Kluyveromyces lactis: one gene and its partners. The protein of the gene in region 2 binds, or shares a complex with, the protein of the main gene of each other region. Links are inferred from orthologs where the notes say so. Each region holds a gene or a part of one and is shown on either strand. Other genes may lie near its edges.

Region 1 (2,312 bases), about 1.0 Mb from region 2:
AGCAATTTATCAAAGAGCGTGAAGCGCAGCAGAAGGAAGTCGAGAATAGCTCTAAGCAAAATAATAAATCTGGCAGTGCTAATACCAATAATGCTACTGCCGACGAAGGTAAGAATGTCAAGGATAAACCAATACTAGCAGAGTGGGAGAAATCACCTAATTTGCACATCTTCAATATAATGTACGATTTAACACCCCCTGACTACATCAAGAAGATCATTACAGAATTTGGTTCGTTGCCACCATCTTCTGTTCCCGTGGTTCTTAGAGAATACAAAGCATCAGCTTGAATGGAGCCCTTTGCATATATAATATACGATAATATCATATAATATAGTAAATGAAAAATTAGTATAGATCTTCTTTTTTATTAATTGCGTAGTAATATTCAACATCGTAGGTTGTTTACTTAGGTATCGGCTTCATCGAGGATATTGCTATATATATGTACAAGTTAAGCTATGATCTCGATATTACCATTCACAAGTCATTTTTTCGATTCAAACCTTGTGTCTGATGGCTGGGCTTAAATGTAGTGGAGACCAGATACCTCTCACACTATCGTTCAAAGTATCCACATTGTCGTTCTTAGTTCTGTGACGGAGTTGCTCACCAGATGCGTCTCTGATTAGTTTTAACTTATTCTCTACATTATCAATGTTCAGATTTTTTACGCAGATGGCTTTATTACGGCCATTAACATAGTCACCTTTTATAACTGGATGGCCAGACTTTCTTACTATTTCGAACTGTATTGTTGGATATTTTTCAGCCCATTGAATCATTCTGTTAGACGTTAGGAAATCTCTCAAACCCTGTGAGGAACCACCCCAATTACAGTATTGCAAAGTGATCTTTTTACATGGAAGCACAAAAGCGCCAACACCATTTCTTGCGATAGAAGTTTGTCTCAAAACTTTAACAACCATTACTTCAGAGAAATCTTTATGACCGCGGGTACCAGCTCTGATTAGAAAACAAGTTGGGTGTATTTTGAAACTGTGGAGAGATCCTTCAGATGCAGAACATAGATTCACTAATATATCTTTTGAGTTTTATTCGAGTTTTCAGTTCATGATTATTTTTTTCCAATTTCAAAAGACCATCAGTCACGTGAACAAATCTGTATGTATTCGAAGGTAGGAGGACAATTCACCACATGCTCACACAAATGAAAAAGATACTGGTACCAACACTGCTATAAGGTGACGAATGTAAATAATACAGAACCTCTTTCCGACTATATTCTGTTTCTTTCACATTGCTATGTCAACACATCCTCATGAGATGTCATACGTCATGTAAACTTGATGATCTGTCGATGGGTTATGACAATAATGCACTACCAGCGTTTGGTTAAGGGTACTTTTACTGAGCAAATCCATAGAAAGTACGATAGAGGCCCCAGATTCTGATCCAAGATGTCCCAAAGGCTTCATATGAGGTTAATTAAATAAAGGGCCTGATTTGCGTTCACCCATGGAATGTACGGATTGACACCTAGCGTATGTTGGATGCACACTAGTAATTTGTTAAAAAAATTATGCACATGCGTCATTTAAACCAATTAACTGGGCACTCCCTATTAAGTGTGATGTAAGTGTATGACACTTTGTTCAAGAACAGGCAAATGTATTGCCATAATAGTCACCAGTTTATCATTATGGTGCGTATAATGTCCCTATAACTATTGAAAAATTAAAGTTCTATGCGTTTTTTTAAGGATGCGTATAACGATGACCACCCCTAAAAAACATTCACTTGTAAGTAGCGAACAGTCAAGGTTTGTATCCGTTTCTTTAATTTATTACGGCGTTCACTGAAGCGTTTCAACGATGCAGTATAAAATGCGACAAAAAAATTTAGGGAAAAAAGCAGAAGAATACCATACTAATTAACTGGAACTTGGTAATTCATCAACGGTAAATACTTATAAGGTGTTAAGAGTTTATTAGCGTGTCCAAAGTAACATTTGTATTATATAAGAAGGGCAGCAAATGGCACTTTTTTACTACCATTTTCATACCTTTTACTTGCACCTTTATTTCATGTCATTGAAGAATTCTTAATATACATAGTTTTCCTTCAGATTAATTAAAGATTGAACACCCTCGAACAACAACCTAACTTTACTACGCTCATTAAAAACGATTATAACGCTAAACTTGGTTCCCTACCCATACATACCTTTTGAAATTATTTTCTCTGTCACTAAACAAGAAAGTTTCAAAACGTCAGTTTTCAGAAGCTTCAATACCTCGCTACAGAAAAATAAAATCATTCATTGGATCCAACTTTACGTCTATCCTTAA
Region 2 (2,462 bases):
ATTTGGTATGTTGTTCGATTTGACTCAGAGAAGATGGAAAAGTAGAGGTAACACTTTCCAACCGAGTACTTTAAAGAGAAAGAGAAGAGTGGGGTTCCTAGCAAGGGCAAGATCTAGAAGTGGACAACAGATACTTAAAAGAAGAAAGAATAAAGGCAGATGGTATTTGACTTATTAGTTCTGTTCAACTTTCCAATCAAACCAGGAACGTTATGGAAGCGCCTGATTATAAAGAATGGCTGAATCTCCTGTATATATATCCACATCGTCATTATGTATTTTAAGAAAACGGAACAGTTTTGATTTTAGCTTTGCCATCAGAAAGCTGGCATGACATTAAGATGATTCTATCGGATAGGTTTATAGTTATCAATTGCAGAAGGAATCTTTTTTCTATTAACGATTTCTATGTACATGGGCATTATTTCTGAAGTAAGTTTCATTCTATCTTGACAAGGACAACAATTCCAGTTATTGTTCATAAAAATTGGGTTGCTTTATTAAGCAAAGTCAATCACAATACCAGGACCGTGTGTACTTGTCAGCGTAGTTTGGGACAATATGCTTGGTTTTTTCGTTTGTTGATTGGTGATAGATTGTTTGAAAGCCTTCTGTGTTGCCAACAAGTTCTCTAGAACTTCCTTGTCAGTGAAATGGGTCTTGGCAACACCTAAACTAATACTGTTACCACGTTGTCTGAATGGAACAGAGCTCATACTATCTTTAATCAATGGCTCAAGATCTTCGGCGACGGTTCCCTTCTTGGCAGTTGGCAGTAAACCACGAGGACCCAAAATTCTACCAACTTGAGAAGCAAGTTGTGGAACAATATCTGGAGTTGCAAAAGCCTTGTCAAAGTCGATACTGACTTCACCAGCCTTGATTTGACTTACTAAATCTGAACCGCCGACTAAATGAACACTGTATTTATCTTTCATCAAAGCCGCTTGTGCCTCGTCATTAGTGAAGACAGCAACTTTCACATCTTTAAGAGGTTTGCCGAAGGAAACATTACCTGTAAGAGGGGGGACACCTCTTTCTGCTACCACCAATGTAGTTAACGTGATGGTTTGTTGGCTTGCTGGTTGCCCGACTTCGATTGCACGTAAGTATCTTAGTGCTCTAGAAACTGGCATATACAGTGGATGGTCACTGGCCGGAGTTTTTGCTTGCAATCTTCTTTGAACCATTTTTCTTAGCTCCCTCTTTCTAAGTTGCTCTTTAGTCAACTTAGTACCCGTTTCTTCCGCTAGACGGAAGGACGTTATCTGGAACTGCCTGGTGAATATTCTTGGAAACATCTTGCCGACCCTATTAGCCTCTAAGTAGCGAAATTGGAAAAAATCTCAGGTTATTCAGAGACACAAGTCTTTGAAGTTTTTACGTGAAATAGTTGAAAATTGATTGTATCCTCTCCAAAGGGTAATATAACGTCAACTCGTTGTTCTCATCGTTCTTGTTAACGCTTCCAAGATTTTAATCCAACTAATCATTATACTAAAGCTGAAAAAATTTTGATACATCGACAAATCCGGGTAATATGTAATTGGTATACTGTTTATGTAGGTGAATAAGACGAGGAAGAAGATGAGTTATCTATGATATACAAGGCCCTGGAAAGACCACAAAGAGCAGTTTCACATAATGCCTATCTGCATAAGTGTACCTTACAGCTTCTTCTTTTGTTTTGGTTTGACTTTATTTTCAAACGAAATCCATTTAGTAGGAATACCGTAGTCATTCAAAATAGAGATTACGATTGAACCGTGTGGACCCTGAACCTGGACTTCAGCAGTTTTCGTCGATTTAGACTCACCAATGGTGGTGGATCCGCTGCACTTCTTTCTTAATGCAGCAGCTAATTCTTCAGAGTCAATTTTAAACTTTTCAAAATTAGTGACTCTTGTGATGACCTTCCTACCAATTTTCTTCTCCGTGACAATTTCAAGAGTTGGGATGGGTCCCTTCTCTGGTACTTTGAGAAGCGGTTCACCATTAGGCTTGTAGATTTGGTGGTAGGTGTTGAAGTTTTTTGAGAGGAAAGTGGGCGAAACTATTAGCCCTCTTGCAATTTTCTGTATTCCACCATTTTGGGGAGCTCTGTTAGACATTTGATAAAGCGTATCATCATATTTGACAAGAGATTTGTTCTCCGGATCTATTAGATTGTTATTGGCGACATACAAATCTAGAAGCTTTTTTAACTCTTGTTGAGTGTAGTAACTCTGTGGGACATCGGCGGTTATTCCGGTAATGAATCTTTGGCATGCGCTCATTGGTTTATAAAGATTTTCACCAGAATATGCTGTTATCTTGTTTTTATTTGATTGGTTTGTAGTATCACCTGAGGATTTCTTAGCAATAGTTGCCAAGGTCTTGTAGGCTTCCATGTTTGTTAAATCCTTATGATTCTTGTTTAGCGAGATAACGGTGCAACTGTCATTCTTGCCCTTTAGCTTCAA
Region 3 (2,884 bases), on a different chromosome or scaffold from region 2:
CCTATTGAGAACTATGCGACTTTGGATTTTGGTAAGTTTGAAGAAATATACCAAGTAGGCTACGCGTACGGTCATGACTTTTTACAACATCTGCAAGAGAAAAACGAATTACCGCCAATTGCGGGTACCACAACTTCTGCTTATGCCGACAAAGAAAACATGTTACAAAGACGGAACAGTATATAAAACGAATTAACAGGAAACGCTACCCACATTTGTCGATGGTGGACATGCAGGACATAAAATCAAAGCCATGGCAATTAACGTTATAGTTTCTAAGTAACTGTAAACCGAAAGTTAAAAAAAAATTGAATAAACTAAATATATACTATACAAATGTTAGCGATGGATGTATATTGGGGGCAAAATGAGGATAGCTCACATCGCACTCAATCAATAATGAGGACATGAAGTTATTTCTTCGAATTTCCCTTATTAAATGTTGAAAGAAGAAGAAGGATACTGGACAATCATTCATCTTCTGGTGTTGTTACAAGGGCCACAAGACCACCTCTAACGAAAATCATTTCCGAAAACCTTTCGGTCGTTTTCAAATCTCCTTCTACTAGTTCATAAATGGTTTCCTTTGAATCTGAAAGAACAATATTACAATGTGAGTCGAAAGCCTGAAGAGTACCCACTAATTCACGAGCATCACGTAATTTCACATATACTCGCTCGTCTAAATTCAATTTTAATAGATCCAGAGGCGTATCAGACATCTTTGCGGCGTAAAGTGTGTATGTCTTCTATATTTATGATGCAGTCGTATTCTTACAATAACCAATAATGCAATTGATAGAGGGTACAGCAGTTAGGTTGAATGGTTTCCTTTGTCAGTTTATCAAATGGAGTACCAGGTATAGTAGAGTAGTCGATATACAATCCAAGGCTTAGTTCCATTCACACTCCAGAGCATCCTCCATAACATACTTAATCACCAAATTATTGTTAACGTACTAATTGATAAAAAGTGTTGAAGTTTTGAATTTCGATGTCAATGGAAAGCTCTGAATTATAGAATAATCAGTTAAACCAGGGAAGGTACACGTTTCCAACCATCTTTGAATGATACTGTACCTGTTGAAAGATGGCCAGGATATGCGATGCTAGTTTATCATCTTATTGCACTATGCTTCACTAAGAGAGTCAATAGTCAACCTGATATTCACGTGACTATCACATGACAAAGGCCGGGCAACCTAATGACGGACCCCGAATCAACTCTGTTCGATCAAAAAATTTTTATAACATTTAAGCAGAGGAAAGCTGAATAGGAATTAAAACATGGATGAATCAGCTAGCTGTCGTGATATTGAAGTGTTCTACCTCGATTGAGTAGCTGCAGGACGTGTTTATTATAGCAGGGATATTATATTTTCAAAATGTTCCCAGCAAGAAGGGGATTGCATACTACTTCTAGAGCATGTGCCAGGACGAGATTCACCAAACCTAAACCCAAACCAGCCAAGAGAGAGAACGTTAGACTACCTACCCAGAGGACCCATCACGATAATGATTTAAAGATTACAGCTCCTATTCCACCGGCTGCTGCCAATTTGACATGTCCAGATGATCATCCTTTATGGCAATTTTTCTCCGAGAAGAAGTTTTTAAGAACGCCCGAGGAATTGGATACGCTTTCGAGACCTTGGACCATCCCAGAGTTGAGAAGAAAATCGTTCACTGACCTACATTCTTTGTGGTACACATGTTTGAAAGAACGTAACGTATTAGCACGTGAAAACCATTTGGTGCAGTTCAACTTTGAAGCACAAACCGAAGCATACCAAGATATCTCCGAAAAGATCAGAACGACAATGTGGAGAATAAGACACGTCCTTAGCGAACGAGACTGGGCATTCAAGATAGCGAATGAGAAATTTGCTGTTGAAAAACAAGTATTTATCGAATCATTCGAAAAAGACTTTTTAGAAGCTCCTGCTAACGAAGATGAAGAGATTTTCGAATCATTGCAACGTTTTCAATATGCCATATACGGTATCTCTGAGTACATCGATGAGAACAAAGTGGACAGAACATTTGTGGATGGATTGAAAGCGGTTGCAACATTGAAGTTAAAGAAATTTGCACTAAGAAACGAGGACATCAAGAACTTTTTAGAAGAATCTAACAATACAATTGTGGATGCAGGTGAATCCTTCCTTCTGTATACATCAGAAAACACAGAATCTGCCATCGCAGAAGCATGTCAAGCGGTAAGGGAGTTGAGAGAAAATGGCTCCTCTGTGTCTAGATACGATGAATTGGAAACTGTTCAAGAATATGTTAATAAATTAGCTGAGGCTCAAATGGCAAAGGTAACAGAAGCGGAAATACAGCTGCAAGAAGAAGATGCAAAAAACAACGCTAATACACTATGATATTAATGCCATCGAAGTGATTGTATAAAGAGATAAGTGTAACCGTCCATTTGGATGAACCCAGCCTTCCTGTACATATGTATACACCAACTTAAATAACGGAATATAAAACAAAAAATTTCCTTCGACAACACTTTAATTTGACGAATAAGAATTGTATTTAAAGAGAGTTTTATTTGCAGTCAATTAATTCAATAGACCTTTTTAGCCTTTTTTACCGCTCTCCGTAGCGGCCTCCCAGTAATGCTATACTCTATCGACATAGTATCTTCAATTTTAACCGTGGACAAAGAATCTTCCGTACTGATCTCTGCCTCGTCTTTGACTACAACTTTAAAGTCTTCTTCTTCTCCAGATGCATCATAGTCCAGTTTGCGTCTTTTCACTAATTTATCACTTGTACTTGCTCCAACTGTTTTCCCAATTTCTTGTGCGAAAAGGACACATTGTGCCCAGCCCGCGTATGGGCCCCATAGATCCTGGAGCTTCCTTCTGTACAT
Region 4 (2,330 bases), about 470 kb from region 2:
CTCACATGATACAGATTAACAATGCAGCCTTATCCCCAAACACGAATCCTTATCAACACAAATTGATATATAATAAACATTTACTTTTCCTCTGTTTATCGTTAGTTCAAGTAGTAATAATATTAATAATAGTAATAGTAATAATAACATACGAGTAACACTAATTCAAATCTTAATTCTCATGTCATCAATACATACTGCAATTTGTTAATTTGGGTATTGTTGGATTTCTCTTCCTTTTCGTCTCAATGCATCACTTAATTTTATGAATCTGAAACCATGAATTCTTGTTATTGACAAAAACTGGTCTGTTTAGAACCGAACTGGATCTTAATAAATTGAACCCCGAAGTCCAAAGAGCCCACCAATACACTTTCACACCCAATGGCATCATCTAAGGCTTCTATCTTCTCCTTCCTTCCTCTTTACAACCTACTTTCTGCTTCTGCCTGGGCTTATGTCCTATATCAAGTCGTGACCCTTTACCCAAAGATCGGTCAACCAAGTTTCTTTATTGCTACCAAGGATTTAGTCACGTACGTTCAATGCGGTGCTATAATTGAAGTCACAAATTCTTTGTTTGGAATAGTCCGTGCTCCGCTAGTGACCACTGCTGCTCAAGTGGCCTCTCGACTCTTGGTAGTCATCGGTATCTTCCAGTATGTGCCGGAAGCAGAAAATGCGCATAAAATATATTACATCACGTTGTTGTCGGCATGGTGTATTGCTGAAATAGTGAGGTACATGTTCTACTTCTTCAACTTGGTGGCTCAAGCGCCTACTGTACTTGTTGTATTGAGATATAACATGTTTTACGTGCTATATCCATTGGGCGTCGGCAGCGAATTGTTCATAATTTATTCTGCATTGCCGTTGGCTGAAGCAAAATACAATATCTTGTACAAGTATTTCTTAATTGCAGGTATGCTAGCCTACATTCCAGGGTTCCCGGTGCTATTCTCACACATGGTTGCCCAAAGAAGGAAGGTCATGAGATCCTTGAACGGTGATAAACGCAAATCTGCATGAATTGTCACAGGATTAAAAGAATAGTTTGACTCATGTATAAAAGTTCTGTAACATTTGTAACATACCCGAATGAATGCACAAATGAAACGACGCTGTCCCTTGGCGTGGCCGTTGGCTCTTCCTTCTCATGACTGTGTGTGTGCCCTACTTTTCACGTCACGTCACGTGACTGACATCAACACTTAACTCTCGAAGGCTCAAAAAATTTTCTGTTGAAACAGTATACGACTAGTTGAACAACATTTAAGACAAGTGAGAAGAAGCAGATTGAAAGGGCTATTGCATCTGCCAATTGTCGTTCGAATCAGTGCAGAAACGATGTTCAAGAATATCAGTCATATGTTTGCCCTCCCAGTAAGGCAAATGGTGGGTTTCAGCCCATTTCTTCAACCTTTGAAGAGAAGTTTCATCAGAACAACACACTCGGTAGCAGAAAAAGCGAAGGTGAATTTAACGCCGTTGAAGTTATCCAATGAGCTATATGCCGTATTCAGAATACACAACAGACCATACTTGGTGACAGAAGGAGATAAGGTTATCTTACCGTTTAAACTGAAGCAAGCAGAGGTCGGCGATGTGCTAAATTTGACTGATGTGACTACCATTGGTTCTCGTAACTTCAAGCTCGTGGACGAACCTATTGATCCATCTCTATACACTATTAAGGCTACAGTTCTTGAGAAGACAAAACGCCCGCTTAGAGTGAGAGAAGTTACCAAGAGAAGAAACAGGAAAGTGCGTCATGCGGTCAATAAAGCCGATTTGACTATTCTGAGAATATCCGAGCTAAAAGTCAATTAATGAACTAACCCTCCTACAAAATCGTGTAAATAAAAGTTTAATATAATGTTAGGTCGTTATAGATCGATTAGAAATACTATACCATCTAGTAACTATGTTTTAGTGGCAGCATCTCATCGAATTTGTTAGAAACGTTTACCGTTTTAGAGAATAGATATAAATTCAAATAGAAACAATTGTAATTAATACCATTTTAATCGTTAATAAAGAGGGGAGAAAGACGATAAGAGAAGAGCTTAGTGCAACAATTACTGGGTATCGATACTTTAGTATCTGATAAGTAAAGTCCCGCTAAATATAGATGAACCGTGGATGATATGTCTTTCTTGAAGAAGAAGAGTAGCACTGCTGGACATTCAAGGTCAGGATCTGCCTCATCTATACTCAACAAACATGTTGATCCTGCCAATATCAGTGAGTTTTATCCATCGTCATTGGATCACAAGGTGACCAGTGGTTTGAAGAACGATTATAGTTTTGATTCCAGCAGCAAGGGATCC

The links. Proteins that work in one complex are often made in the same cells at the same time.
Region 1: MRPL1 (region 2) and MRPL51 share a complex: the UniProt entries of both Saccharomyces cerevisiae proteins name them as parts of the mitochondrial large ribosomal subunit. The link is inferred for Kluyveromyces lactis from reciprocal best matches to the Saccharomyces cerevisiae genes MRPL1 and MRPL51.
Region 3: MRPL1 (region 2) and MRPL4 share a complex: the UniProt entries of both Saccharomyces cerevisiae proteins name them as parts of the mitochondrial large ribosomal subunit. The link is inferred for Kluyveromyces lactis from reciprocal best matches to the Saccharomyces cerevisiae genes MRPL1 and MRPL4.
Region 4: MRPL1 (region 2) and MRPL49 share a complex: the UniProt entries of both Saccharomyces cerevisiae proteins name them as parts of the mitochondrial large ribosomal subunit. The link is inferred for Kluyveromyces lactis from reciprocal best matches to the Saccharomyces cerevisiae genes MRPL1 and MRPL49.

The regions. Positions count from the first base shown.
Region 1 is NC_006042.1:776,644-778,955, forward strand, and holds MRPL51 (mitochondrial 54S ribosomal protein mL43), read right to left. Parts: upstream 930-2,312; coding exon 501-929; downstream 1-500. Other genes in the region: GCD2 (translation initiation factor eIF2B subunit delta), read left to right, coding at 1-290. UniProt on the Saccharomyces cerevisiae protein: Component of the mitochondrial ribosome (mitoribosome), a dedicated translation machinery responsible for the synthesis of mitochondrial genome-encoded proteins, including at least some of the essential transmembrane subunits of the mitochondrial respiratory chain.
Region 2 is NC_006042.1:1,782,997-1,785,458, forward strand, and holds MRPL1 (mitochondrial 54S ribosomal protein uL1m), read right to left. Parts: upstream 1,302-2,462; coding exon 501-1,301; downstream 1-500. Other genes in the region: MRX14 (mitochondrial 54S ribosomal protein bL34m), read left to right, coding at 1-178; TMA64 (Tma64p), read right to left, coding at 1,668-2,462. UniProt on the Saccharomyces cerevisiae protein: Component of the mitochondrial ribosome (mitoribosome), a dedicated translation machinery responsible for the synthesis of mitochondrial genome-encoded proteins, including at least some of the essential transmembrane subunits of the mitochondrial respiratory chain.
Region 3 is NC_006038.1:467,767-470,650, reverse strand, and holds MRPL4 (mitochondrial 54S ribosomal protein uL29m), read left to right. Parts: upstream 1-1,385; coding exon 1,386-2,384; downstream 2,385-2,884. Other genes in the region: NTE1 (lysophospholipase), read left to right, coding at 1-186; U4/U6-U5 snRNP complex subunit LSM3, read right to left, coding at 471-722; 8-oxoguanine glycosylase OGG1, read right to left, coding at 2,576-2,884. UniProt on the Saccharomyces cerevisiae protein: Component of the mitochondrial ribosome (mitoribosome), a dedicated translation machinery responsible for the synthesis of mitochondrial genome-encoded proteins, including at least some of the essential transmembrane subunits of the mitochondrial respiratory chain.
Region 4 is NC_006042.1:1,308,974-1,311,303, forward strand, and holds MRPL49 (mitochondrial 54S ribosomal protein bL21m), read left to right. Parts: upstream 1-1,347; coding exon 1,348-1,830; downstream 1,831-2,330. Other genes in the region: SAP185 (Sap185p), read left to right, coding at 1-19; enoyl-CoA hydratase PHS1, read left to right, coding at 385-1,029; mitogen-activated protein kinase kinase kinase BCK1, read left to right, coding at 2,148-2,330. UniProt on the Saccharomyces cerevisiae protein: Component of the mitochondrial ribosome (mitoribosome), a dedicated translation machinery responsible for the synthesis of mitochondrial genome-encoded proteins, including at least some of the essential transmembrane subunits of the mitochondrial respiratory chain.